Linked DNA regions of Oreochromis niloticus. The protein of the gene in region 2 purifies or fractionates together with the protein of the main gene of each other region. This does not show direct contact. Links are inferred from orthologs where the notes say so. Each region holds a gene or a part of one and is shown on either strand. Other genes may lie near its edges. The genes, in order: pfdn1, mapk7, pfdn2 and vbp1.

Region 1 (7,416 bases), on a different chromosome or scaffold from region 2:
TTATCGGACCTTTGACCTCTGACGTTCAGGGTTTAGAGGATTTTTCCTATTTGGATGAATCTCTGACCAAATGAATCAGGTCACCGTTTACCTGCAGCTGTTATTTCTGCTGCTGCTCAGTTATGTGCTGATTTATCACCTCAACACTGAGGACATCGTAAAACCAGAGAAATATAGGGCCTGTTCTTAGCGCTGCATCCACTCATGGTGCAATTACACGTGCAGCTTTAAATGTCTGTAGTAAGTTATAATTGCTGGACCCTGATGCATGCTTCTTGATCAACCTCAGGGCACAGACCTCAGATCAGCTCTTTGAATCCTTCTGTTTTAAAGGATTCAAAGTGACCAATCACATTATGACCCCGCCTCCTTTGGGCAAACGTAATTCCATACAGTCACATGATCGTCTGCTGGTTTAATTCATCAGATCACACAGACTGAGAAGAGGGTCGTCATCATCAACAAATTCAAAGTAAATCTCAGACTGAAAAAAGCCACCACCAGGCAGTGTCTTCAAGCTTTTATTGTGAAAAACTCACACAGGAAACTGTGTGTGTGTGTGTGTGTGTGTATTACAGTGTAATTATAGTGTGTGTGATGATGATGATAGTCAGTGGGCTCTCCGGGACAGCAGCATCTCTCTGATGTTGTCCTCAGCTTCCTTCACGCTGCGTTCAAGGTACACCTTCCTCTGCTGGAAATCACAAACACAAACATACTGTGAGTGCTTAGCTGTGTGTGTGTGTCACACACCAACACTGTTTCAACCTCCTGAAATCAGACTGCAGGATAATTCAACCATTTTTTTGTATAAAGCACAACAATAGTTACATCAACGTGTTTCATATTTTAAAGACTCTAGCTGACACAGTCTCTATGGAGATGGGGTTTTGGGAGATAACAGGAGGAGAGAAGCTGCAGAGAGACGTGTAAGACTGCAACTCTGCTTCCTGGTCCCAACTCTGAATAGTCACATTTTGAGAGCTACTCCATCCAAAGTGGGATGGATGCCGTCTCTCCTAACAAGACCAGAGCTGTGTCCAAATTCATGGGCTGCATCCTCCTGAGGACGCATTTGTAGGCCGATTACATCACAGCGACGCGCCGAAGGCTGTCCAAATTCGTCGACTCCTCCGAATGCAGCCGACAAATGCGTCCTCCTTTTCCCCGAATTTGAAGGATGGGTCGGGTGTGTCCTTCGTGGCCCACCATATCCCAGAATTCATAGCGCGGCTCAGCCAAACTCCAGTTTCCAACAATGGCGGCCGCTACTAAGTTTTAATATTACTCTTATTAATCTTTCTGGGTCACAAAATAAACTTTTAACATATTTTCAGGCGAGAATGTAGCTGTGTAAACTTCGAATATCTGCTTGGTTTATCAAGATATCACATATTTCTAAAAGTGCGCTGACATTTTCGGAGACATCTGTTACCCACCAGCTCGATAGCTAGCCGAGAGCTCGAGGGTCACTGAAGCCGCCGAGAACGGCACAACTCCCGGCACATCATTTTCAGATCACTGCGGACTTTCGCTACTCAGGTTAAACGTAATATATAAGTCACTTAGACAACCTAAAAATGTTATTGTTTGTCATTTTTTCAGTGTTTTATTTGTTCGTGAGTAAATCGGTTTGGCTGAGATTAAAGTTATTAGATTAGATAAAATAAAACTTTATTAATCCCCCGGGTGGTTTTTACACAGCTGAATAAACGTCAAACAGAAAACTGATTAAACAGAAGTGTGAGATGGTCGAGAATTTACGCCAGCGTCCTGTTATATTTTAGATTGCAAGGAGCAGACGGCCGAGTTTATTAAACTCCACCCACACAGCGGTGACACAAATCTGAAAGCTAGACCGTCCAGTTTCACAGCTGTTTACTTCCGGCCTACCCGACCTTCTGAGGACCCGGCCCACGTAGACCACGAAGGCTGGGTCCTCAGGAGGATGCAGCCCATGAATTTGGACACAGTTCAGGTTTCCTCCAGAAGGTTTCTCTAACCCCATGCAGAACATGCCCACACGCGTGATGTCAATCAGCAGTTAGCCAATGAGAAGAGGCATGTGCGCGTGCACCTCCAGCTCTTTGATCTTCTCGTCAGCAGTCTTCTGTTTGTCTGTCAGCAGGTTGTTGATCTCCTCCTTGGACTGCAGGATGAACCTGAAACACATCATGATTGAACCGATGTGATTGGCTGACACCTGCGTGACGTTCAGGTCTGTTAAGGTTAAAAGTAGGTGACTCACATGCGTCCCACACCCTCGTAGAGCCGCGTGTTGTCGGGCAGCGTGGCTATCTCCGCGTGCGTCAGCTTGGCGTGCTTCTGAACGCGTGTCAGCTGATCTATCTGCAGATCGGCCATCTTGACTTTCTGCTGCGTGTCGATCATCTTCACCTGCAGCTCGGAGAAAGCCTGCGGAGCGCACCTGACGGTTAGTCACCATGGTAACAGAGCCTGCCCACTCTGAACTACCCGCCCCCCCCCCCGAAACCGTATCATTTTTAGCTCTACTTCATGATATCACACCTTACACCCACAACCCACTCGCAAACGATTCCGCTGCGTCACTTTGACGTTAGGGGCTCTAACTACGTCACGGTGACGACACAAGGCCTGGGCGCAGGTGTGTTAAAGTCACGAGCGTGACGGTGTCGGTGTCCCGCCGGCACAGACACAGACGGAGGTCGTGGGCAGTTTAAACCGGAGACTGTGGAAAAAACACTCGACCACGTGTGAAACAGCCGCGTTAGTCACAGGCACAAAGCACGTGCCACACACACAGGTGAGGAGCTCCTACCTTTTTCAGCTCCAGATCTACGGGCGCCGCCATCTTCTTTCTGCTCCCGACTCTGAGGACACACTGCGCACGCGCGAGAGCCGCCTTTTTCTTCTATCTTTTTATGGCGGTAGCAAACAGCGTCAGGTGCATTACCGCCACCTGCTGGACTGGAGTGTCCGCCCTGTGAACTCCATCACGTGTCCTCCTCTGTGATGTGTATTTTCCATGTTTCCCGCCTTTATTTACACTTTTCAGATGCCTCCTGCACGACATTCACACTTCCTGTCTCGTGCTTATTCGTCTGTTTGACACTGTTATTTAAACTGTGTGACCAAATCTTACTCTTCACATTACACCTTCTTCTAGACCTTCTCCCACAGTGTCCCTCTGCCCTGTGTACTATAATAAAACTACCCTCTCTGTCCCACTGTGGCTGACACCTTTACTCTATTTTATATTCATATCTACATGACTTCTTCTCGCTGCACCTTTTCCAAACTATTGTGGATTTTATTATGACATATATACTTATATACACTAGACATGTAATCATAGTTACTTTCATAAACTGTGTGTAATCATATATACTCATATATACGATGCATACTCACAATGAAGTGTTTATATAGTGGAGTCACTGTGTCAGGGCCGTGCAGAGACGTTTATAGGGGCGGGTGCTCAAAGCTAAAAAGGGGCACATTGAACCAGGCTGAATAACAACAACACACATTCATCAAGAATCTAATATGGGATCGCATCATACTATATCACTGTTGTGAGGCAAAGCAAACGTAGCCTATGTTTTACCTGATGGGTACAATGTTGCTGTTGAGGGGTTGCTGCTGCTCCTGCTGCTGATAGTGCTGGAGGGCAGGGCTGTGTTGATCTGAGACTGTAGACATTAAAAAGTCCATAGGAGAGATGGTAGCTGATTAAACAAGTGTCATGAGATAATAACAAAATGCAAAGATTGGTGACAGCGCTTGGAACCATAAGGCAACAAAAAACTGAGAAATAAACTAGACCCTGCCTGTGAATCACTCTTTGCCTCTCTCCCTCCTTCCATCCCCTCATCTCATCTATCACTCTCCATTTGCTGTCCATCTGAGAACAAGGCATAACTTGCTATTGCAATAAACTATTATTTAATTATCCACACTTAACAACTCTTACACTTAATCTATAATAAAATGATGACAGAAAAATGTTATAGAAGCAAAACATTTCAGTTGTGCTTATTATTATTTTTATACTGGGATACCTCTCCAACAACTGGTACATGTGTTAATGTTACCTGTGCTCTTTGTAATCCAGCTGCTGAGGGATCCACTGCCTTTAGTGGCCTCACACAGCTCCTACTGTTTCCTCCTCATGTCCTTACCAGCCATGTCTGGACAATGTTATATTATGAGTAATAATTCAAAAATCCATATACATAAAACACACACATGCATGCACACACAGTGACATTTTAGACCTTCTTCAGAATACTGTATATACTGTGGGCACAAGTTTCCATCATGGTGTTGATCCAGAATCCTTCCTTTATTATTTATTACTAGAGCTACAATAATAAAGCAATGAGGGAAAAAGAGTAATACATATGAAATAATGTATTTATGATGATTCAATTTGTTTCACTTTCCACTCTGTGCAGGCAGAAAGCTTATTACATTTTTAAACTGTAGAGATACAATAATTTTGCTGCTGTAAAATCAGCATTTTGTCTTATTTAAAATATAAATCTAATATAATCTGTTTCTTAATGTATGTTCTTTAAAATACAGCGTGTTTTTTAAAATATTATAATTATAATAATCCATTATTATGTGGACATGCATATTAGATCGTTTTAAGTGAAATATAATCCCTCCAGAAAGGCAGGAAAAGCCCTGTAACTTACTTTAAAACTAAATATGTTCCCTAACACGGTGACAGAGCTACAGACCCATGACAGCCTTACCCAGTGAGCCAGCAGCTATGACCAGCACTACTTGTGCAGTTAATAAAAGGACAGGTAATGTTTGTCGCGCTGTTGCACACACAGCACGCTCATTTGTTTCAGTTCGTCAGTTGTCCCAAGACAGCTTACCAACGTGTACGTAATAAGCTAACACTCCTGTGTGCTGTAGACTACAGTGTGCGCTGTTCACCTACTTACTGGTTTTGTCGCCTCAGTCTGTGTGTCTGAGGTAATTTGTGTTTCTCCTACAGCTCCGGACCGCAAAAATGCGCGTGCTCTTTATGAGCTCGTTCCAGCGCGTTCTGCCGTCAAGGGCGATCATTGGTTAATGGTGATCATGTGACTGATGCAAGCCAGATCCTTTTATTTAGCAAAACTGTGATTAATAGTTAAATATTATTGTTGAGGGGCACAGACAGGACTCTGCACGCACACACACATTTAAAAAAAAATAAATTAAAAATTAAAAAAAAAATTGCCTCAACAAAAGGGCACTTTGGGCACCCATCAGGAAAGGGGCAGGTGCTCAAGCCTCAAGAACAATCAGGTTTCGCAATAAGATTCCCCACAAATGATGTGTGCCAGTAAAAGAAAGTTTTTCCACCAAAAGACAGAGGAGAACAGCACAGGGATAAACCTGCAGACCTGACAACAGCAGGTGTATCACTCCGCTGGTTTTCTACTTAGTGACAGTGTTTACGTTGCAAATGTGCCTTTGTGACCTTCATTAGTGCCCTCACTGACACACAAAACAAAACAACGACTACACAACAGAACAACTACACAAGACAACACAACACACTAACTATACACTCCACACTAAACATCACAAATCTCCCACATCTAAAAACTCTCTCGCTCTCTCTCTCTCACTCGCTCGCTCTGTCTCGCTGCCGTTACCGTCACTCCCAAAACTCTCCCCTCTTCCTAAACAACCAAATCCCACGTGTTGACTTTTTTTAAATTGGTCGACATGGTGCATTTTTCCACCGATAGGAAAGAGGTGGCTTTCTTTCCTTTCTTTACTGTTTTCGCGCTTTCCTTAGAAAACGCTTAAAACACACACACACAAAAACGTGACGACAGTATTTAGAAAAAAGCGTGGCTTATATATATTATCATAACTCTGGATTTACTGGCCTGTAATTAAAATTTTAAAACTTTGAAGTCCGAACTTTCAATGTGGGTTGAAATAGAGACTCAGCGTGGCTGCAGCTTGTTGCTGTGTCAGCTTACATCAGTCATGTGATTTGGAGGTGCAGCGTGTCCGTGGACCACAGAGGGTTAATAACACTCACCTTCCTTCCATTTCCAGAGTGTAACATCCAACCACCTGTGTAAAATCCGAAATTCCCATGGTGTTGTTCAAAATGTGCTCTGGCACAATCATAAGCATCGCTTGCTGCTGACAACAAGAAAAACGCCGCTCCTGCTATGGGCTGAACCATTTGTTAATGGTGGAGGGGGGGGACACTATGCAGTATATTCAGTTTTAGCATTTACATTCACTGTTGACTGTAACTACGCTCAAACTGTTAATGCTATCTTATTTTAATAAACAACACTGTCATATGCAAAACTGGGGTGGCACTTGGGGTGGCAAGGGATCATTTTAGGGTGGCACTTGCCACCCCATGCCACCCTTCTAGATCCGCCCCTGCTCGTCTCACATCTTCCTCTTCAAGTACCCGCTTCCCTGTTAGAGTGAATTTCAACTTGTCCTTCCTCAGCCCTACCTTCCTACTCTTTCCAACTTTTGTCCAATATATATCCATTTTATCATCGTCTGAAATCCCTCTACTGCTACTTGACACTGAAGCCACGGAACAGGAGGTGAGAGAGGAGCCTTAAATGTAGGAGGTGTGATTTTAAAGAGAGAGAGCTGCTAATGAGGAGAAGGAGGAGGAGGTGAGAGAGCAGGAGGAAAGGAAGCGAGGCCAGGAGGACTCAAACTGGGCGTGAGACAGCATCATGAGTCAGAGTCAGACCCCCACGGGTCAAAGGTCAGAGGAGAGACAGGAACTGTGGTGTAAGCTGGATGAAGTGGGAGAGAGCGGTGTATGGAGCAGTATGGAGCAGACTTGATGAACATGGAGGTGAAGGAGCAGAGGAGGCCGCCTCGGAAGCACGGAAACTGCATTGTGGCAGAGAGGAAAGCTCTACAGAGGGTGGTGAAGGCTGCACAGAGAGTTGTCGGAGGCAGCCTCCCAACTGTCACAGACATATACACCTCCGGATGCAGGAAGAGGGCCACCTGTATCATGAAGGACCCCACTCACCCAGCATACCCACTCTTTGTCCCACGCCCCTCAGGCAGGAGGCTGAGGAGCAAAAATGCAAAACCACCAGACTGAGAAACAGCTTCATTCCAGAAGCTGTGAGACTTCTTAATGCATAATGGACAAGAACTGTTATTGTAGCACCTTAACCACTACTTAACACTTATTGACACTGTCACTTTATCAGTGCTGGTCATCATGCCCTTTGCTGCTAAAGTATTAATTTATACCCATATTTATACCCACACTCTATACCCATACTCCATACTGGTACACAGGTTGTTGCACTCTAGTTATAGTATTATTTATTGTGTTGTCTTACTACTTGTCATTTCTGTTTGTTAAAAAAACAAACAAAAAACAACAACTATTTATTTATTACTTAAAAAAAA
Region 2 (7,577 bases):
ATATGCGCTGGTGGCACTTTAACTTTGTTTTTTTTCTATTGTTGACTGTACTATTTGTATTCTTTATCCGACTTTAACACAATTGGTGGATCAGTAAAATATCTATCTATCTATCTATCTGGTACTGTAGTACCAATTTAGTGTTCAAGTAGTACAAAATAACAAACCAGCAAAAACAAGAAAGCACCCACAAATATTTCAGAAAATGTAGTGTTTTGTCTGTTTTTTTTTTCATTTCAAATATTGTATAACAATGTCAAATATTGTATTTTTTCTCACTCGTAACTAACTGAAGCCTTTTACTGAACTACCAAGTAGGGCTGTTCGATATAACGATATATATCGGATGACGATATAAAAACATCTATCGTTTCATTTTACGCTATCGTTTGTTTCGTGGTGTTGCAAAATAAACTATTTACGGCAATATTTTTTTATCGTTTTGATGGTCACTGTAGTGGCTATATTAATTTCTTAAAGTTCTCTCTTTCTCTTATATTTAATATAACCACATTACTGACGGACAAGCGCCCGTTTTTATGCGTTGTCGTTAGCAACAACGACGGTAAAACCATCGCATGTCCGCTTGTTTATTTTCCACATAAACCTTTCACAATAAAGCTCAAGATCCTGTTGAGACTTTTCAAAATAAACTGAATCATGTGAAAGAGTATGCAGAGTATTTACGGATGAGAAGCAAAAAAGAGCCGTCAGGTGCTAAAAAATAAACCTGGACTCAAATGTTAGAACAGGCTTTTCCCCGCAGCACAATGTGTAACAAATACTCACAAAGAAAACGGCGGCCGTTACAACTTATGTCTAAAAATGTATCGTTTAATGCATCGGTTAAAACACTCGACTCCAGGTACACGACCCCCAGCTGGAAACACTTCACGCAAGTCGAGCTGCCCGAGATTCACAGAATTTACAGAAAATGTTACATTTTTGTGATGTATGTTGTTATCGGGACGATAGATGTCTTATATCGGGATATGAGATTTTGGTCATATCGCACAGCCCTACTACTAAGTGTACCAAGTGTGACTGCTAGTGAAAATTGTTTTCTTTACAAATAACTCTCACCGAACTAACACAGCCAATCCCTCCCTGCACTCATATTTTCTTCATATTAAATATTTTTTTGCTTTTTGAAGAACTTATTTTTAACATTCCACTCGACAACACACAAATCCTTCCTAACAAAAAAAGTAACTTCAAGGGCCAAATTGCATTATATTTCTTCACGTCAAAATACAAGTAGGGGTGATGTGGCCCCCGGGCCACGAGTTTGAGACCCCTGGTCTAGACTGTCCTGTATTTCTAAACAAGAAAGTTTCTATTACTTCACAGAAAATGTCACTGTTGTAAAACAGAGCTTTCTATAGCTGATATTGAAAGAACAAACTTTTATTTCAATTTATTTATTATTTATTACTTAATTATTTTGGGGCTAGTATGAGTGGTCATGGGAGAGTCAACAAGAAAAAGCTGTAACATTTATTAAAATAAATGTAAACATACAAAATTTATGCTCTCCTTAACATTTTCGATTAAAGTCTCTGCTAGGCCGATTCTAGCCCCCGGGCCTTATGTTTGACCCACATGTGTTATGCTGGAATCTGTAGCAGCAACACTATGTACTCCATAAGACCAGTGCCATCCAGCGGCAGCATTTCTGTCACTATTAAAATCAGTTTTACTGAAAACTCAAATTATGCCCATATAAAAGCTTTTCTGTTAACACTTGGGCGCATGGAAGCCATCCCAGGAGTGCCTCCGTTAATGTGGGTACTGAGGAATAACAGAGACTGAACCACCACATGCGAAAGTTTTGCTCAATTGAGATTTAGGAGAAAAACTTAAATAAAAAGAAACTACTGCTTCTGACAAATAAAAACACACTTTTAAACGCTGATAAACTGTGTGAGAGTGACCTGCTAGGGCTCAAACTAGGTGTGATTAGTAACTCCACACCCGCTAGGCCTGGCAGTGAAAGTGGCCAAAACCAAACCTGTAGCTCTCTACTAACGTCTCCACAATAAAGCTGGAGTCTTCATGCGAGTAGCTAAAGGCCAAACCCAGCAGAGGCTGTCTGTAAGAACACACTAATTTGTGTACTACATAGTTATAAACTAACCGCACGACAAGGACTACTCGCAGGGGCGTAGGCTAATAACGTTACCTGAAGCTGGAGCACTCTAGACACAGAAATCGTTAAACGGCATTTTTGTCGATTATATAACAAAACGGAAAAACACTGACACGTGTTTTCTGTTAAAGGAATGTGCGCTCACCTTGTGAGTCACCCACAACACCAGCATTGATGTTTTAACCCCGTAGTAGCGCGACCATCTTTTGTTTTTGTCTGCCGCTTCCTCGTATAGTTCCGCGTAGGGTTTGAGTGCCATGATGCGGACCAACCACATGCGCTGACGTCAAGTAGTTTGTCCAATGGGAACAGAGGACGCGTTGGGAGGCGGCACATTGCTGGACAGTCTCCGCTTTTTCAATTTATTTATCTTTGTGGGGTTTTTTTTTTTCTGTTTCTGTTCTTTCTGTTTTCCCCACAGTTCAATTACTTTAGGAGGAGTCAGATTTAGGGAAAGATACCTGCTCCTGTTGGTGCTTTACACTAACTTTATATATAATATAATAATAATATATATCCAACTAAGCCCGAAGCCTGCGATTATCTGATCAGTCAGATAACAAATGCTAAAGCTGGAGAATATACTAACTACTAATCATAGAAAATTATATTATTAAAATCTTCCAAACTATCCTCATAGTATAATTCACAGCTTACTAAGCACGTTGTGTTACTTTATTTAAAGGATTAAGCAGTCGTTACCTCTAGTTGAGCTCAATTTTAATGACGCATTTCCGAGTGGATATGTTAAGAAAAAATTCAGACACTTTTGGTTAAGTAAAAACAAACAAACAAACAAACTCCTTCAGGTATAGTAGTTTAGCAGTGGAATCTTCCAGTGGCGTGAGATGAACAGCAAGGGCGGTTATTAACATTCCCCAAAGCCCAAACAGACTGAAGTCCACAGAAAAATACAGTGCAAACACCCATCTGCCAACATCTGGACTCCACCGTCCAATGAAAAGCAGTCGCAAAACTCGCACAGACCAATCAAAAGCGACAATCTGAGCACGAACACGTCGTCTTGACTAGGAGGACGGTGACGTTTGAAAGAAAACCAGACTGGACCGTGCAGTTTCAACACATTGGTGCAATAAATTCATCTTTTAGTGTCCACATGGGTGCCATTCAGGGGTTCCCCAAATGGGAGCGAAAGGTACGCATGTTTTTGTGCCTTTTCGGTTTGGTTTTGTCTATTTATGCCCTTCACGTCGAGGTATCCCGGGAGAGAAACCCAGATTACAGAGCGCTGTGCGACCTGGGGGAGTCTGTAAGCTGCTCCAGAGTTTTTACCTCAAGGTATGATATGACTCCTGCCTTTCGTTTTTCCTCATAACTGCGCTTTTTGTGCAGAATCAGCTTACCTGGATCTGTTTTCAGGTGACCACTGATCCATATCTGATCCTAACCTTGTCTTCCAGCTGATACTTTAACATATTTTTTTCTAGCCTTTCTAACCTACACTGAATTGCCACGTGTTCTTAATTTATCTGAAAATACTTTACATCAAGTAGCTTCCTGTTTCACATTGTGAGAATACAAGGTATATACGTTTATTTTGACATTTCTTGTCATTTTTAAGAGAATCAATCTTTATTACACGCTTGATGTTCTACACTTAAGAAATGATTCTTTGCCCTCATAAACATGAAGCAGTGATTTTGAGTAAAATGCAGCGGTAATGTATAATATCAACGGTTTATTTATTAAATTAAATAATCATTAAGGAAAATATGTTGATTATAAACTCTGTATACCATTCAAGTAAATTTCATTTGCTTAAATCTAACATTTAACATTGTACTTATGTAACAAAATTTGATAGAACATTTACATGTAATGAAGTTACTGAAAGTAAGCATTTTGGCCATAGATACTTTCTGTGTACATTTAAATGGTTATATCACATTGCATATCTCTGTAAGGCTGATTATATTTCATAGGAATAAAAAAATAAAAAAATAAAAAAATTGTTCATTTTATTTTGAAGAAATTGCTGCTCTGACTGTTACTTCTTTCTTTCTGGCAGATGGGGACGTGGTTTTGGTTTGGTCCAGTACTTTGTGGCCAAAGATAGTCCTCTAAACCAGCCCAACAGTGTTCTTGGCATCATATTTTACACTCTGCAGATGGGCCTTGGTTAGTCTCTGATTGCCTTCTGTAAATTACAGTGCAATGCTGAGAGCTTTTTATTTAGAATATCATTTGCAATCCAATGTGTTTGTGATCCATGGCAAGCACAAGTATTTCAGGTATTTGAGGATTGCATAATATGTATATGGAGCAATACATTTACTCCACTCTGGACGTGAGACTGTGTGAAATTTCCCAATAATGTACTATGTTTGACTGAGGTCCTGATATCCTCTCTATTTGACTTTTTTCTTTACAGGACTGTCTGTGTCTAAAAAAGCAGCAGCTTTTTTGGTCTTCTCCTCCTGGGTTTCTGTGGCCGGTTCACTCTATCTTGCATCTATTCTCGCATTTGTTCTGGGAGACTTCTGCATGGTCTGTGTCTCCACGTATATTGTCAACTTTGCATTGCTCTACACCAACCTGAAACGGAAGAGAGCAGTTCAGGAAATTAAGGAAAAAGCCAGATAGAAAGTGTTGCCTGTGAAATGTAACAAATCCCTTCCTGCCATCCTGAAACCCTGCTGGATTCATCTCACAGTATTTTGCCAGTGTTTACATGAGTTTACATTCAGTATTTTCACAGAAAAATAACTGGAGATTTGACTCAGAATATCTATAAGTTGGTTCTCAATACAGAAACTTTGTTGTGCAGCAGCTACTTTTGTATATTTTTATTAACTGGTAATGATTAAAACACATTTTTGAATTCTGACTTAATTCTGTGTGATTGTTGTGATTTAATTCTGGGCTGTTATATGGTCAAATGTGTTAAAAGTGGCTATACCTTTCTCTACAGTACATTTACTCAGTCCTACCAGCAGATGGAGATAAATGTCTATTTAATAGCAGTTCAAACAAACTTTATTGGAACGACTGTTCAAGTTGCCCGTCTCCCCCAAAAAGTCACCAGACCTACAAAGAGAAAAAAAAGATGATAAAAAATAAACAAATATATCTAATACAGTGTGCTTCATTACAATATGTACAGTTTTTAACTAATTTATTAGACCACATGTCATAAAAAAACAGAACAAGCAGTGGCAGCTCATTAGCTCAGCTTCAAAGTAAAAATCTGATTATTAAAATAAAATTTATTTCAACTGTGGGTCAAAAGAACAAAGTCAAAAACAGTTAATATGGTAAAATGTGAAAAACTGCCAGTAATTGTATTGTTATTTAATGGTGCAAACACCTCAGTTTCTTACATTTAATGTTTTGTCTGTTTCTTACTTACCAAAGAACTGATGAAAATAATAATGGGCAAAGCGAGGCGACAAGTTTGAACCGTTTGTGCAGGAATTGTATCGAGGCTTCGAAACAATCTGAACCAATCTCCACAGTGACATCTGCTGGCCAATTTGACTATCGCCACATCTTTTTAATGCTGCTCTGTGAAACAAATGAGGCAGACAAGCCCTGCAATTCCAACCAAAACGACTTATTATAACAGACTGTCAGTAATGGTGATGAGCACATCTTTTGAAGAAATCCAAATCCAACCCAGGCAAGAAAAATATTGAGACTGCTAAAGACAGCAGGCTGTAATCGTGATACACAGCGTACCTCAACAAAATTATACATGCGTGTTGCTCACAGTAACTCAATTTATAAAGTAAAACACAGAGAGTAAAGACTGTTGTGTTTAATTTAATAACTGCACAGGTTTCCATCTGTTTTTGGCCTCATTCGGAGTTGTTTTTTTACTCACAGCCCTCAAAGTCTGGTGGTTTATTTATAAGTTTTCTAAGAGTTCGTGTCATCAGGTTTGTTCTAAACAACCTCAATCAAAGCTAGAAGCTTGCATAATTAGCTTTTATTTTTAATTAATTTTAATAAAAAAAAAAACAAAACACCCAGCACGCCCCTGCGGGCGGTTTATCCTTCAAGCTCGGGTCCTCTACCAGAGGCCTGGGAGCTTGAGGGTCCTGCGCAGTATCTTAGCTGTTCCCAGGACTGCGCTCTTCTGGACAGAGATCTCCGATGTTGTTCCCGGGATCTGCTGGAGCCACTCGCCTAGCTTGGGAGTCACCGCACCTAGTGCTCCGATTACCACGGGGACCACCGTTACCTTCACCCTCCACATCCTCTCGAGCTCTTCTCTGAGCCCTTGGTATTTCTCCAGCTTCTCGTGTTCCTTCTTCCTGATATTGCTGTCATTCGGAACCGCTACATCGATCACTACAGCCGTCTTCTTCTGTTTGTCTACCACCACTATGTCCGGTTGGTTAGCCACCATATATATATATATATATGTATATATATTTAAATCAAAAGACTAAATGTGTTTTCCTTCTTTATAAAAAGTTAATATCACATTTTCATTGGCTAATTTTGACCAATCGTCCATCGTGCCATTTCACACAGATCTTTAAATCATCCTCTGCTGAGCAACCTTTGAACCATGAAGAAACATTCCTTAACTTCATACTGCTCTGGATGCTGTATCTTGTAACACCGGCATGATGTATGAGTGAGGATGAAGTCACTTAATGCAGCAAATAACCTTTTCTGTGGAAAGTGGAAAAAAATACAGAACAGACTGAGTCACTAAGACACTAAGACATATTATTCAATTAGTTGGTAAATCAGAAGTATCGGAAGTCTATAACTACTGTAATGCCACGTGTTTGTGTCTTTTTATTAAGTAATCAGCCACTAAGTAGGCTTTCATGCACTGAAAAACTCAGTTTGTTTCTGTTTGACATTTTAATTTGTCACATTCGCTTCTTTTTAGTTTGGCTTTGATTGATTTGTATTGGATTCTTCTGTTGAATTCTTTGCTTAGGATTTTTAAAGTATTCAATGCCATAAATGTGTCAGCCATAGGTTTAGCAATTCTTTGACATTGTGGCAAATTCGGTATTTGGTGGTGGCGGTGGTGGTGGTGGTGGGGGGGAGTAGAGCCAGAATGGCAGAATGACAGACTAGCACTAAGTTCACATAATAAATAAATAAATAAATAATAAGGAAGAGAGACTAATTGGCTTGCTGAAGGTGGGCAAGAAGATAATGGAATCAGAGTGATGATGACAGAATTAAGTGGAAGTGACAGAAAGTATAGAACATGTAAAGTGTAAACACTCTGGAATCCAGGCAGACACGAGAGCACAGACTTCTTGAACTTACTGTGAGCCAGAGCTTTCATATCTAAACAAAGTCCGAAAACAGTGACCCTGCAGCTCTGCATGGTTTTGGATACTTTGAACACAGACCCTGTAGCATAACCAATCAAAAGTAAAAGAAAATAAAAATCTAACAAATACAATCATTTTATGTTTTAGATTTAATTTTA
Region 3 (6,824 bases), on a different chromosome or scaffold from region 2:
GAATTGTAATTAACCACAGTAGTGACAATAATGGATACAGGCTAATGATGGTGGTTGAGTTTAATGATGTTAAATATATTTTGATTTGTGTTTATAATAATAATAAAAATAATGGATTGGATTTATATAGCGCTTTTCAAGGCACCCAAAGCGCTTTACAATGCCATTATTCATTCACGCTCACATTCACACACTGGTGGAGGCAAGCTATGGTTGTAGCCACAGCTGCCCTGGGGCAGACTGACAGAGGCGAGGCTGCCATATCGCGCCATCGGCCCCTCTGGGCAACACCAGTAGGCGGTTTATGGTTATAACAAAAGAGCACAGATCAAACAACTTTACTCTTCCTTGAATAAGATGTTGGAGGAATGGAAAGTGACCTATAATACTCCAACACTGAGAAAGTCATAGTTGGAGGAGACTTTAATTTGGTCCCTGACGTCTATATGGATCGCCCTCCTCCAAGAAGAAATAGCCACTATTATGAGGAGATTGTAGCTGAATTTATTACTAAAGGAAATCTAATTGATTTTTGGAGAATGAGAAATCCCAATGTCAAACAATTCACATGGTACAATTGGGCTAATAATGGTCAATGTTCAAGGTTAGACTTTGGTTAATGTCTACTAACCTGATAAATAAGGTCCCTAAATGTGAAATATCAGCATCACCCCTGACTGACCACTGTGCTATTTCAATGTCTTTTCAACCAGGTGGGGTTAAGCATATCCCTAACTATTTATGGAAGTTTAATTTTGCAATGAAACAAAAAAACTTGTTAAACGAAATTAATCTACTGGAAATGTCACCCTTGAGTAAATGGGAATGGTTTAAAATTTAAAATCAAAGAGGTTGCCATAATAATAAGTAAAGGCATCTCAAAAGTTAAAAAAAAGAAACAACATGATATTATTAATCATATGAACAGATTACGTCAAAAAGAAGACCCATCTGTAGAAGAACAAATCAAACTAAATAATCTTCAAAATCAGTTGGATAGTTTATATCTGGAAAGAGCAAAAGGAGCATTTATACGCTCAAGAGCTCGTTGGCTTGAGGAAGGTGAAAAAATACTTCTTATTTCTTTGGCCTGGAAAATCAAAGACAAACAAAAAAGAAAATCAATAAACTACTTGTTAATAATCTTAGGAATGATAGCCAAGAACAAATAAATGAGGAAATAGAACATTTCTATAAGAAATTATATAAATCTAACTTTTCACTCGATGATTGTCAAACATTTTTTGAAATAATTAGGCCAAGTAGTACAATAATTGATGAGTCTTTTAGGCAACACTTAGAATAGATAGATAAACTTAGAATTGCAGAGCTAGATAAAGCAATTGGGCATATGTCAAAAGGAAAGTCACCAGAACTGGATGGGTTAACAGTGGAATTTTATATTCATTTTTGGAATGATATCAGGGTACTGCCTTGTAATGCCTTTTTGAATGTACTTCATCTGGTCATCTCTGTCGTCTACCATGAAAAGGGGTGTCATCACATTAATTCCAAAACCCAGTAAGGACAAACTATTGCTGGATAACTGGGGACCAATTACTTTATTATGCAATGAATACAAGTTGCTAGCTCATATTTACTCCAATAGATTGGATTTGGGGCTATCCAAAATAGTGGATGAGTGCCAGTCAGCCTTTGTGAAGGGTAGAAACATACATAACCACACTAGACTGATTCTTGGCCTGCTAGACTACAGAGAATTTATCACAACAGTGTTGTTTCTGGACTTCTTCAAGGCTTTTGACACAATCGAGCATTCCTTTTTGTTAAAAGCTTTAGAATTTTTGGGCTTTGGAAGTAAATTTTGCAACATGGTTGAAATGCTTACACTGACATCAGTAGCACGGTCTCCTTGAATCCAGGAGTCATTCCTGGATTCAAGGCGCAACGAGGAATCTGACAAGGATGCCATATTTCCCCAAAGCTTTTTATATTGGCAACTCAATTCTTAACACTATTAATCAAAAATTCTAACAACATACAAGGAATATCAATTTTTAACAAAGAGTTCAAAGTCAGTTTGCAGATGATACATCTATCTTTTTGAAAGATAAATCAATGGTAGATAAAACTTCAAGTACTATCTCAATCTTCTCTAAAGCTTCCGGTTTATCTCTTAATATCAAAAAATGTGAACTACTTCCGATTCATACAAACGTGTACTGTTGTACTGTTCCAAATTTTCATTTGTATTATTACCTGTGTTATCCTCTTTGAGAGTTTGTATTTTACATTGCTCAAATACAAAAAAGAAATCTAGGTAGCTAGTGACCAGCTGTTTGCCACACACAACCTTTTGCAGCTGGCAGGTGGTGGGCAGCCCTCTTCCAAAAAAGCAAAGAGAACATATTTAGAAAACAACAAGGGGAATAACTGAGTGTACACTTAGGGATCACTTTTGAATACATAAACTTATTCCTGGGGTTTTAATTAGTGCTGTTTTTCCAGAGCCATTCACATAGATCAGACAGCCCCCCCCCCCCCCCCCCCCCACACACACACACACAACATGTGTCTTTTGTTATTACTGTGTATTGTTGTAAACACTGACTGTATAAAATATGAATGTTCATTTTCTGTATTGGAAAACCGAAGCCAAAGTGTCTTAAACCTGCATTCTGTCTAAAGACCACCAGATGCTAATTGCTGTAGTTTCAAAAACACTTCAGGTCCTATAAATGTCTATGGAAAAGCCTCTGTAAAAAACTTTCCTGCTGAGTTTATAGTCTTAGTCACTCATAAATAATATGAAAAACTCTAATGTTAAGGCATTAAAATGGGATTTCATAAAGGAATGAATTCGCCATAGAGTGTAAATAGACAGATTCTTTATTGATCACGCAAGGGAAATTGCCGTCTTGCAGCAACACCACCCTCTACAGGAAAGGGCAGAGCAGGCTGTACCTGCTGCGGAGACTCAGGTCGTTTGGAGTGGAGGGCCCACTCCTGAAGACCTTCTATGACTCTGTGGTGGCCTCAGCCATCTTCTATGGTGTGGTCTGCTGGGGTGGCAGCATCTCTGCTGGGGACAGGAAGAGACTGAACAGGCTGATCAGAAGGGCCAGCTCTGTTCTAGGATGCCCTCTGGACCCAGTGGAGGTGGTGAGTGACAGGAGAATGGTGGCTAAGCTGTCATCCCTGTTGGACAACATCTCCCACCCCATGCAGGAGACTGTGACAGCACTGAGCAGCTCCTTCAGTGGGAGACTGCGGCACCCACGGTGTGGGACGGAGACATTTCGCAGGTCTTTCCTCCCCACTGCTGTCAGACTCCACAACAAAGACTTCAACTGATCAAACACACACATCCACACATGTGCAATAACACTAATGTGCAATAATCTTTTCTGGCATCGTTGTATTTTTACTCAATTGTATATAGCATTTGTATTCTATTCTTATCTTATTGTATATTTTATTCTATTTTATTCTACTGTATATAGTATTTTATTTTATTCTATTCTGTACAGTTGTGTACTGTATTTATTCTTATTTTATTTTATTCTAATTTTTCCTTCATAACTTTTGCACTGTCCACTTCCTGCTGTGACAAAACAAATTTCCCACGTGTGGGACTAATAAAGGTTATCTTATTCTTATTCTTATAAGAAGTAAAAATAAAAATTGTATAATCCACAATAAAAACAACATAGGCAGTGTAACAATGTAATTTGAGGTCCATACAGTAATTGGTCCATACTGAAGGCCTAGTAATGTGAAGTAGTCAAAAATTTCACATACTACAGTGATTAAAAGAAAATAATACCATAATGAAAAGTCACACTTTATTTTATTCATTTCTATACAGGCAATCGCGTAAACCAGCCCTGTACGTCTTTCCTGGGTCCCTCGCAGCAACACCCTTCCAAGATGGCAGCCAACAGTAGCAGCACGGGTAGCAAATCCAGCAACAGCAGCGGTGGGAAACAGTCCGGCCCGTCAGCTGAACAGGTACCCTCCCCTCCACCTCAGGCTGCTTCACCGGTGCAATCGTTGATATTGTTGTCGTTGGGCCTTGTGCGGTGGAGTTACAGCCACCAGTTTGAGTCCCGGATAGCTAAAGCTAACGTTAGCTTCCCATCGCAGTGAGCCAGGTGTCCGGCCATCAGTCTGCTCTCTAACAAGCAGCTGGTGTTAAACATGAAGATTTAAGCGTTCATATAATGAGCTGGGGTCAGGTGTGCGCTTCTAGAGAGCGGTTTATGGCTGTTAGACGTATTTAAATGTGCGCATGTGTGTAACGAGATGGTGTAGCTGTGTGAATAGAAGATGCTATTTTTATAACTGAAGACCACCCAGCCCGACTCAATCAACGTGAAGCCACATTACTCAGATATTCATAAAGTATCTGTAATGATGAACTGAGTTTGCCGTAAAAGTCCTGCAGTGTAGCTGCTCTCAACAAAAGTATGTGGAAAGCGATTAATGTGATCAATGCAATGGTTTCATGTGGTGCTCCTGCAGGCTGTCCATCATGGATCAGTTTGCGTTTGTTGGTGTCAGCTGCCCTCTGCTGTCCCAGCGCAGCACAGAACAGCATAGAGTACGGCAGTGACCATCACAGACTCATGCTGAGCGGATATTAAAATACCTCAGTCATCTCAGAAAATAGTGATGGCTGTGTATGTTCTTGTAGAGAACTTATGTGTTTTTAGTGAAGTCTGGTTAATTGTTAATGTGAACATTCCTTGACAGTTTCCACTGGTAGAAACAGGGCTCACTGATTTTGATCACCAGGAGGCGTTTAAGTTACTTGAAATTAAAATGCCATTATTTTTATGATATAGCCAAAAAAATTACTGAAAATGTGTGAATTTCTGAGTGTGGTGAGGTTACATAGACTTTTACACCTTAACTATGTGTGGATCAGACATGCTTACATGTCCGGTCATCTCCAAGAAACGTGAATATAAAAATAACATACCATATGCAATAGCTCTGCTGGTCCATGATGGTGCTCACTCTGGTTTTGTGTGGCAGGTGGTGGCAACATTTCAGAGGATGCGTCAGGAACAGCGCAGTATGGCTTCTAAAGCTGCAGAGTTGGAGATGGACATCAACGAGCACAGGTTGGTACAAACCTTCTGATCCGCTCTAAACAGTTTACATTTACAAAGAAGTTTCATGCGGCAGTTCAAGAAAGAGAGAACTGAACATGATTTATTGATACACAGAATTCAGTTATGCTATTTGGCGACTCCGATGCTACGACAGCAGAATGAAATCCTAGTGGCGATAGACGTTATCTAGGCGTCAAGGGTCATGCCTTGACTCTAGGTCCTCATCAAATTCTAGCTCAGGTTCTAGCTCAAGTGCCCCTCCAGCTCATAGAGGATCTCAGAGCAGAAGTCCAAGATGGTGGAGTTTAATCCATCTGACCATGGCTTGCAACACACACTGGGAAGCAGCTAAATTATTTTATGGTTTTACTGCGTGCCTTCTCAAATGTTGGCCCAAATGTGTGCGCGCACACGTGTACACAGAAAAAGCGGACAGATGATAGAAAAACACACACAGCAAGTGTTTATTTCTCACTTCCAGTATTAGGAAACATTTGCATGTTTGCAAACAGTACTGATTGCAAACACTTCATTGGCACAACCGGAACAGGTAGCTGGTTTGCAGCAGTTACTTTGGTAACTGAGTTTAAGTAACTGATCTTAAAACGTTTAAATATAAAAGTAAATAAATGCTTAAATGAGGTGTCAGAAATACTTGTATGGGTATTAATATACTTGGTGGAAGACCTGATGGCTGAGTAGTTATTCCTGTTATACTTCTTTTAAGTTCACCTCCCAGAGTGGATGTGTGGTCAGTGCATGGTGAAATAAAGTCTCCGTGGATAAGTCCTTGTAGACACATGGACCCTCACACTCACTGTCTGATGATGAAATTTATGATCCTAGTGGACTTGTGGATGTGGAGGTTAATTGAGACTTATGGCCTGACGTTATAAGCATCTAAATACGTAATAAGCTCCAGGGCAGACCAGGTGGTGCATGTGAATGTAACACTGAATGCATGTCCTTAGCCGCAAATATTTCACAATCTGGGGAATCACAATGTCAGCTACCAGCTGAGGCATTCCTGTGATACCTTTTGAGTTGAATACGTTTTCTTTTTAACATTTCTGTTTTCCATTCAGCTTAGTAATAGACACATTGAAGGAGGTGGATCCATCGAGGAAATGCTTTCGTCTAATAGGAGGAGTGTTGGTGGAGAGGACAGTAAAAGAAGTTCTACCTGCCTTGGAAAACAACAAAGAACAGGTGATGGAAGAGGAAATGATAGCATATTACAGTTTTCACACTGTGCTCTGCTGTTTAATAGCTTCATATATTGTACACAGACTCTTATTTCGCTCACGATTTAATTTTCTTCCTCCTCCTATCTTCACAGATCTCCAAAATAATCGAGTCCATCAACTCACAGATGCAGACGAAGGGGCGGGAGCTCACAGAGTACAGGGAACGCTACAACATACGTTTGGTGGGAGAGGGCGAAGGAGAGGAAAAGGGCCAGTCAGCCGCTCCCTCCAGGGACAGCGAAGGAGGCGGATCCAAAAGCGGAGCCGGTGTTTTAGTTTCATAGGTAGTGAGCATGGACAGTGACAGCAGGGCCCTTTGATTTCTGCAGTGCTGAACACGTAGATGGAGTCACACAGTTTAGGTGGAAAACAAACTCTTTGCAGGATAACTCTGGATTTGAAGTTTACTGAAATCTCTGCTTAATCTAACGCACTTGTTAATTTGCAGCAGGTATATTCTGCTTCCTTATGTTCAGTGTGAAAGTTAAAGCTGTCT
Region 4 (7,421 bases), on a different chromosome or scaffold from region 2:
GTATGACAGCGCCACTGGTCTCTTAACCTCTAACTGTCATCCTATAAGGAACCTTGGTGTGATATTTGACATTTCTATTACCTCTCGTCTAGACTGTTGTAATTCTTATATGTTGGCTCTGATCAAACAAGCTGTACAAAATGCAGCAGCTCACTTTGACCGGAAAGAAACCATGCGATCGCATTACACCTGTACTGGCCGCCTTACACCGGCTTCCAGCCGACTTCAGTATTCAGTTGTTTTAAGAGGCTCAATGGATACAGAACTTTTAGCTGCCCATCATTTTTAAGACACTTTTAAAAACCTATTTGTTCTCACTTGCTTTTGGGTCTAGTTGAGCAGAGTACCCTGGCTTTTATAATGCAAACGGAGTCCAATTTACTTGTTTTATATGTTTTTGTGTATATATATTGTTGATTTTGCGACTGTTGTGTACAGTGTATATTTTGTATAACTTTTACAGCACTTTGGTCAACTGAGGTTGTTTAAAATGTGCTACAGAAATAACCTTTGACCTGACAGGCATCCCTGTAAATGAATTCAAACCAATATTTGTTTGATTCACTTAACATCAAATCAAATTACAACAGGCTCAACACACAATTACACTGGTGTCACACAATGGTAACATTTTAAAGTTGGTTCACAACAACCGTACGCACCTTCTTCTTCTGCATGTGTCGTAGGATTTCTAGCGTTTGTCTGATTTGAGGGATCTGGTTTTTCAACCTGCGAGCAAAGAGATGTGATTTGGATGTTATTATGAAACGTGTGTGTGTGTCCTTATTCGTCTAAATTCTGCTGATGCCCTTCTTTAAACAGCTCACTAAATGTCTTTAATATCTGTCCAAATCTTTGATTATCACTCAGAAATGATGTCCACCAGCTGATGGTGTCCCATATTAACACCAAACTCTAATGACCTGTCAAATCTCTGTCTAAGCCCATAACAACAAGGTTAAGTGTTCCTTCACTGGTGTCACCTGAGTTTCTTCTGAGACAGGTTGAGCTCCATGTATTTATATTTCTGGTACTGTTCGTCCAGCCTCCTCAGCACCGCGTCCGCCGTCTCATTGCCGGGCTGCTTCATAAAAGAGTCGACATCCTCCTGAAAATCCAGGCAAGAGAGAAAGAATGAACCAAGATTAACTAACAATGAACTAAACAATAACAATAAACCAGAAAGCAAACAGTTGAGCTGGTTTAGGCATCAGATTGGGATGCCTCATGAGCGAGGTGATTTGGGCACCAGGACACACTGGAGAGATTATGTACTACCTCAATCCCAAAGCAGTTGGGATGAGGGCAACAAAAGTGGTACTAAGGAAGGAAGGAAGGAGGAATGTTTTATAACTAATTAGGTTAACTGGCAACAGGTCAGTCACAAGATTGGGTATAAAAAGAGCATGTTAGAGAGGCAGATTTCCTCAGGGTTAAATACAGGCAGAGGCTCAACAGTCTACAAATTGCGGAATCATTTCAGAATAAATTTTTCTAATGGCATCTTCATGCCATGTTTTCAGTAAGTTAATGTTAAGAAACTTATGAAGTCAACTCTTCTGTAACAAAAAACATTGTACGTTATGGAATAGCTGGTGATTTGGACGTCAATGAGGACAAATAAAAGGCAACTCTAAATAAAGAACAACATTAGAACTTTGCACTCAAACTGCCTGCTGAAGATGCAGGAATTAGTTTTACACCAAATTACTTCATTACACTGTCAAGATGTTTAATAATCAGGCCCCATGTATCTTAAAGACCTCATAGTACCATGTCTTTCAAATTAATGGCCTCTTAGACTCTTACTGGTCAGAAACACTTCATTTCTTGACAAGGCTTTTATTGTGAAAGATCTGTTGGGACTTGCAACAGCTCAAACTGTTTCCACCATAAAAATCTGAAACAAACACATGATAAAATCACATTTATAATATCTGTGAATCTGATGTTCAGCTTTTGATAGCCGGTTAGAAATGTACATGTGCTCATCACAGGTGAGTGAGGGATAGAGGGAGCAGAAACGGGGAGATTACACATCCAGGAAGCAAAGCTGTGTGAGGAAGACATGGTGGCTGACAGGTGGAGATGGAGACTGTACATTAAACTGCACTGTGCTCTGACATGCACATGCATGTAGGTACATGTGTGACTGATACTTTACCAGACGACTACACCTCAACCTGTAATCGACTGACCAGGTCTGGTTGTAATTGGCCTGTATTTGCTCAGCAAAGGCCAAAGAACATACATGAGTGAGGATTTGCAGTGAAATAAGTGATGAATTACTGAAAACTAATTGCCTAAGATGCTTTTAAGTAAATGAAGATCAACATTTTCCAGTTTTGGTGGAGTTTTGAACTGCTGACCTGATGAAACAAACACACTGAGGACACGGCAGTGGGCTCTGTGATATAATGCACACTCTAAAGGAGAAAAATAACCTGCAGATCACGTGACACTTAACTTTGTGCTGTATTTGCAGCTGTCAGGAGACAGGACACCTGAGAGCAGTAGCTCATATATGTTGGGACGTATTCACTATACACGTTAAATCTAAATGTGCTCATCTTACTGCCTGATTGTGCACGGAGGAGGCTAATGTCACCAAAGCAGCCTCCAGTTAGACTGATGTGTGGCTGGATGAACTGACCTAAAGCCTAAAGAGGAAACGAGGCAGAGTGACAATAATGCAGTGATGTCCATAGATGGAAACGAGCTGCCGCCCAGCCTGCACACACAGCAGGCTTGTCTGTTAGCTTAGCTGTTAGCCAGCATGCTGCACCCGCACACCGGAAGCTACAGCTACAAGTGTGTCTTCAGCGGAGTAATAACAAGTCAAACCAGCGACACAGCGACAAATGTCCGGGTTTACCCACCACAAAAACCGCTTCTGGGATCCCGAGGTGCTTTCTCTTTGTCGCCCCTACGGCATTGCTGTTGTCTATGATCGCTGCCATCTTGGAGAGAGGATACTCCTTCCTTCCTGACGTACGAGCATGCGTACAAGCGTCTTAAGCGGGGAAACAAGACTCTGCTGCTTCTAGTGGTCACAGGCTGCAACTGGAGTAACACAAAAGGCTCAACGAGTCTTTTTTGAATCAAGAACCTTTTAATGTCACACATAATAATGAAACATTATTAATGATTTATAATAGTGTTAGTAACATGATTACAGCATTCAAGGCACATATAAATCCAGCCACCTAAACAAAACATAATTACAGTACTGTGAAAAAAGTGTAGTCATCCCTCATTCCTCTGTATATTACTTCCAAGGAACGAGACTTTTTTGTAATTTTTAAAGTGCTCTTGAGCAGTAGTTTTCCCGGCTTTCTGAGTTTTTCTCAGGAGATCAGCTGCTTTTTCATTTATTTTCAGTCCAGCCTTTCTACCTGACCATTGATAAGCCACATAACACTGCTATGAATTATTCAAGCATAAAAAGGCTCAAGGAAAGAATCAATTTGTGGCTGTACATAACATACTTTTTAAAATCTTGTCTTTAGGCACTTGAAAAATGTTAGTGATCACACAGTTTAAGAGGGATAAGATGACTTCCAAAGAGCTGTTAGCCAAAAACCTGCCACATCCCAGCATGATGTGCAGGGCGTCCTTAAAAATAGAAACTGGACAAGTGGAGGACAAAAGAACAAGTGACAGGCTTAAAAAATGAAAAGGTCAAAGGATGCCAAATTACACAAGAACTGGACTGAAAATCAGTAACAAATGTGTCGTATGGAGTGATGAATCAAAACTTGAATTCTTTTTGGTTTAAATCGTCATCAGTATGTAAGGAAACTTGGGTTTGTCATGGTTTGGGGCAACATTTCAGCCAATGTTGTTTGGGGATTTTGTCAACACTGAGGGAATTATGGACACCGAAAAGTACTGTCAGGGAATATCATCTGGAAGTCATGTTTTTAATAAATCTCCACACCTATCTGCGTTTTCTCAAGTAAAATATAAAAAGCAAACAGAAAAGTGAAGAGTAGATTAACTCGAGAGCTCACGCAATATAAATTCAATATACAGTAAAACAAAGAATTAAAATGGAAAGGATAAGAAGAACTCGATTAGCATTTATCACCAATAATTTAAGAAAAAAATCTATTAATATGCAAGCTTAAACAGAAATGGGTCCTAGTAAAACACACAGATGCATTTTATATTACAGTTTTTCAGTCAATTCAAAACATCTCAAATAAAGTGGTTTAAATTTAAATTCTAACTTTTTGAGAGACAAAGAAAAAGTCATTATGGTCAAGAAAGGTCAAGGAAGATATCTTCCCATTTGTTTTGTTTCTCATGATGCAAACCACATGGAAATATAACTTTGTTACCTTGAAAATCACATCCCTTTACCTCAATTCAAAGCAGATGCTAAATTTCATATTTGACTGTGATATATTTCTCTGCTGGCACCAACTGAACATGTCTTCTTTGTAAATTCATCACAGAATTAAGTCATCAACCCCATTAAAGTTTGCACTCATAGAGATGATGTTTGTTTAACAACTAAATGTACCACAACAGAAACAAGCAAACACACAGATACCATCTGAAAAGTGAAGATTAAATCAATCAAATCATTTTTACAGGCTGTAAGCCGCCTTCATCCAGCTATTGAAACAAACAGTGTGAACTATGGAGTACACGTCTCTTGTTTTTTGATGTCTTTCTTTTCTGGAAGTTTCCACCAGCTCACTTTTAGGTCGCCAGTCGTATCTCCCAGCTCATTTTTGACCTGCGCAACAGAAAAGAGAATTTAATGATTACACCTCAAATTATAGACTATTGTTGTTACATTTTAACATTTTACACAAGGAAATGCAAAGAAAGTGTTTTTTGGGGGGGAATATTCATCACCTAAGACTGTCTTAAAAACATCTGGTATGTTTTTCATTAAAAATTATAAGTATAGACACTTTAATAAGATTTTGTAGCACAAGTTACCAAATTCACGACGGACTCCATCACAGCCGGGTCTTTCATGTCCACGGAGGAGTCGACAGCTGCCAGATTCACTTTCACCAAGAACTTCCTCCAACTTCCTCCTGTATTACCGGATGTCACATCTCCTGAGACGACATCTGGCCTCACCCATGGGGACATCCAATCACATTGTTATCATCTAATCACCTGATGTCCACCTACACCTTATCACCCTCTCTCTGTCTGTCTGACTTTTCCCGCACACACAATTTAAAACAAAGTTTAAACTTTAAAATGACATTTTCTTCTTTTCTGTGTTATTCATAAACATTGAAAAATTCACCACATTTGAGCATTTAGTGAAAAATGGATATAATTTACTTCAAGTTTCATTCATTTTATACAATTTCTACTTCAGTTAGATTCCATCAGCATCCATTCTCACATGAGCATTAATTTGAGCGCAATTTATTTTTAATTTAAACACATGGGAACACTTTCTTTTCTTTTTCTCTTTTAAGATCTTTGTCTGTCAATAACAATTTACTCAATACAATTTATTTTATTAAATCACACATTTTGTAAGTCAGACATTCTGCGAGATCAGTGGCTCCCGTGTGTCACTCTGTCACTCCCATCCTGCAGCACCCCCACATTCACACTCACCGAGGTCAAACTCTCAGTGTGAGGCCTGTCTTTAAAATCATTATCATACTTTATATTTTCTTATTTTTTATATTGCTTAAACTTAAACATACTTGTTTTTAATATACCTGATTATATTCTGATCAGTATTGATTCAAATTATGTTTCTTTGCTCAACCATTACAAGACTTGGTACCATTACTCTCATTCAAAATCATGTATAACGATGGGCTGCCGATGCATTTCTTATCTTTTCCAAATTCCCGAGACACTAATATCCCAAGGTCAAAGCTGGATCGTGTCTACACACACAACATTCAGATATTAGAAGAGTCATTTTCACTACTAAAACTATATTTCTCATTTTAATATGCTAATCAGACCTATACTTCAACTATATCTCTGATTAAAATGAAAGATGATCTACTGTAAGAAAATAGGGAAAAGCTCTGTTTTAGCACTCTGATCTTTTTTAACACATAAGGCTGGATGTTAAGACCTTTTACCCCCTCTCAGATATCACCACGGGGGGACTTCAATCTCTTTCTCTCTCTGCCTCACCTTTTTCGACAGAGCTTGTAAGATGATAAACTCCTCTTTAATTTTAGTTAATATCTGTAAAGATTCCCATCATCTTCATCATCATCATCACCAACATCTTGGCCACTTCATGTTCTGACAGCGATCATTATAAATGTGGCTGCCTCAGCCTCAACACTGGCATCCAGTCATTTTAAAATGACAGCGTGTGCATTTTCTTGTTCTGTATATTTGGTTGCACTATTATAGTTTATTGTGATATAACTGCACCTAATTTCAGTGACTCAACTACTTTTCACAGAAGACAGATCGCCATGTTTTTGATTTGGCACAAATTAAAAGCCGGATGCTGTTCCTCATACAAGCCATTTCTCTGGACTTTGTGCGTCTTCTCGGTCTCAAATACAAACCATTTACTTTCTGTTTGTACCCGTTTGCATTTGGAGACTGTATGAGTAGTTGTAAAGATATGTTTTAAAGATATGTATTTGACATGTTGTGGATGACCAAAAATGTTTTTCACCTGAACAGATGACACCAGCGTCCTCAGAATGGTCACAGTCAATTCCTCCAAATCCACTGCTTGGACAGTCAGTTAGAAAGTTTTCATTTCCTGTGCATGACACTTCTTCAAGCCATATCTGTCCAGTTCCTGCACCAAAGTAAGCTGATTGAGGAGCCTGTAGTGCCGGTCCACAGTTTAACTCTTTGCAAACCACATCAGCATCATTTAAGTCCCAGTCTTCATCACAGACTGTTCCCCAGATGTTATTGTGGTAAATTTCAACTCTGCCAGAGCACTGTGTTGATCCAGACCCGGCCAGTCTGATGGCTGAAAACAAAACACAGAGGTCATAGCAGAATTATAAAAATGGAAAAAAGAATAAATAAAATAAAAAAAGGGTAAAAAAAAAAAAAAGAAGAAGTAAAAATGGAAATTAACTGATTTTTAAAAATACAGAAATTTTCACAAGTTGAAGATGTGTACTGTTTTAGTTGGATTTTTATATGTAATTCTAACTGCAAAATCTTGCACAACTCAAATTACACAATTTTAAAAGTGTGACATTTTTAAAAGTACAACAGTTTACCCATAATTTTGATAGCAATTTGTTTAATGTGCATATTTTATATGTACATTTAGATCTTGTATGTCGAACACATCTTTACTCTTGAAGTGATAAAACTTAAAATTCTCCAGAAAATTGTTATTGCGCACACTATAAACTGTGTCAAGTACAAATTAAGCATTCAGATGTGATTTCTTGTTAAATCATGTCTGTTTAATGAATAAAAAAACA

What was found.
Region 1: the proteins of mapk7 (region 2) and pfdn1 purify together in Homo sapiens (affinity purification with mass spectrometry; 3 studies listed by BioGRID and IntAct, with this or other methods). This does not show direct contact. The link is inferred for Oreochromis niloticus from reciprocal best matches to the Homo sapiens genes MAPK7 and PFDN1.
Region 3: the proteins of mapk7 (region 2) and pfdn2 purify together in Homo sapiens (affinity purification with mass spectrometry; 3 studies listed by BioGRID and IntAct, with this or other methods). This does not show direct contact. The link is inferred for Oreochromis niloticus from reciprocal best matches to the Homo sapiens genes MAPK7 and PFDN2.
Region 4: the proteins of mapk7 (region 2) and vbp1 purify together in Homo sapiens (affinity purification with mass spectrometry; 3 studies listed by BioGRID and IntAct, with this or other methods). This does not show direct contact. The link is inferred for Oreochromis niloticus from reciprocal best matches to the Homo sapiens genes MAPK7 and VBP1.

The regions. Positions count from the first base shown.
Region 1 is NC_031975.2:33,670,482-33,677,897, reverse strand, and holds pfdn1 (prefoldin subunit 1), read right to left. Parts: upstream 2,958-7,416; 5' UTR 2,834-2,957; coding exon 2,801-2,833; intron 2,416-2,800; coding exon 2,249-2,415; intron 2,163-2,248; coding exon 2,078-2,162; intron 695-2,077; coding exon 611-694; 3' UTR 506-610; downstream 1-505. UniProt on the Homo sapiens protein: Binds specifically to cytosolic chaperonin (c-CPN) and transfers target proteins to it. Binds to nascent polypeptide chain and promotes folding in an environment in which there are many competing pathways for nonnative proteins.
Region 2 is NC_031973.2:17,618,403-17,625,979, reverse strand, and holds the start of mapk7 (mitogen-activated protein kinase 7), read right to left. Parts: upstream 3,013-7,577; 5' UTR 2,852-3,012; intron 2,427-2,851; exon of another isoform or gene 2,295-2,426; intron 1-2,294. Other genes in the region: vkorc1 (vitamin K epoxide reductase complex subunit 1), read left to right, coding at 3,267-3,448, 4,179-4,288, 4,542-4,753. UniProt on the Homo sapiens protein: Plays a role in various cellular processes such as proliferation, differentiation and cell survival. The upstream activator of MAPK7 is the MAPK kinase MAP2K5.
Region 3 is NC_031967.2:23,683,135-23,689,958, forward strand, and holds the start of pfdn2 (prefoldin subunit 2), read left to right. Parts: upstream 1-3,816; 5' UTR 3,817-3,891; coding exon 3,892-3,972; intron 3,973-5,001; coding exon 5,002-5,090; intron 5,091-6,166; coding exon 6,167-6,290; intron 6,291-6,420; coding exon 6,421-6,612; 3' UTR 6,613-6,824. UniProt on the Homo sapiens protein: Binds specifically to cytosolic chaperonin (c-CPN) and transfers target proteins to it. Binds to nascent polypeptide chain and promotes folding in an environment in which there are many competing pathways for nonnative proteins.
Region 4 is NC_031967.2:30,265,320-30,272,740, reverse strand, and holds the start of vbp1 (prefoldin subunit 3), read right to left. Parts: upstream 3,024-7,421; 5' UTR 2,961-3,023; coding exon 2,880-2,960; intron 1,109-2,879; coding exon 984-1,108; intron 730-983; coding exon 663-729; intron 1-662. Other genes in the region: putative DMBT1-like protein, read right to left, coding at 4,646-4,747, 4,957-5,093, 6,644-6,952, 7,212-7,215. UniProt on the Homo sapiens protein: Binds specifically to cytosolic chaperonin (c-CPN) and transfers target proteins to it. Binds to nascent polypeptide chain and promotes folding in an environment in which there are many competing pathways for nonnative proteins.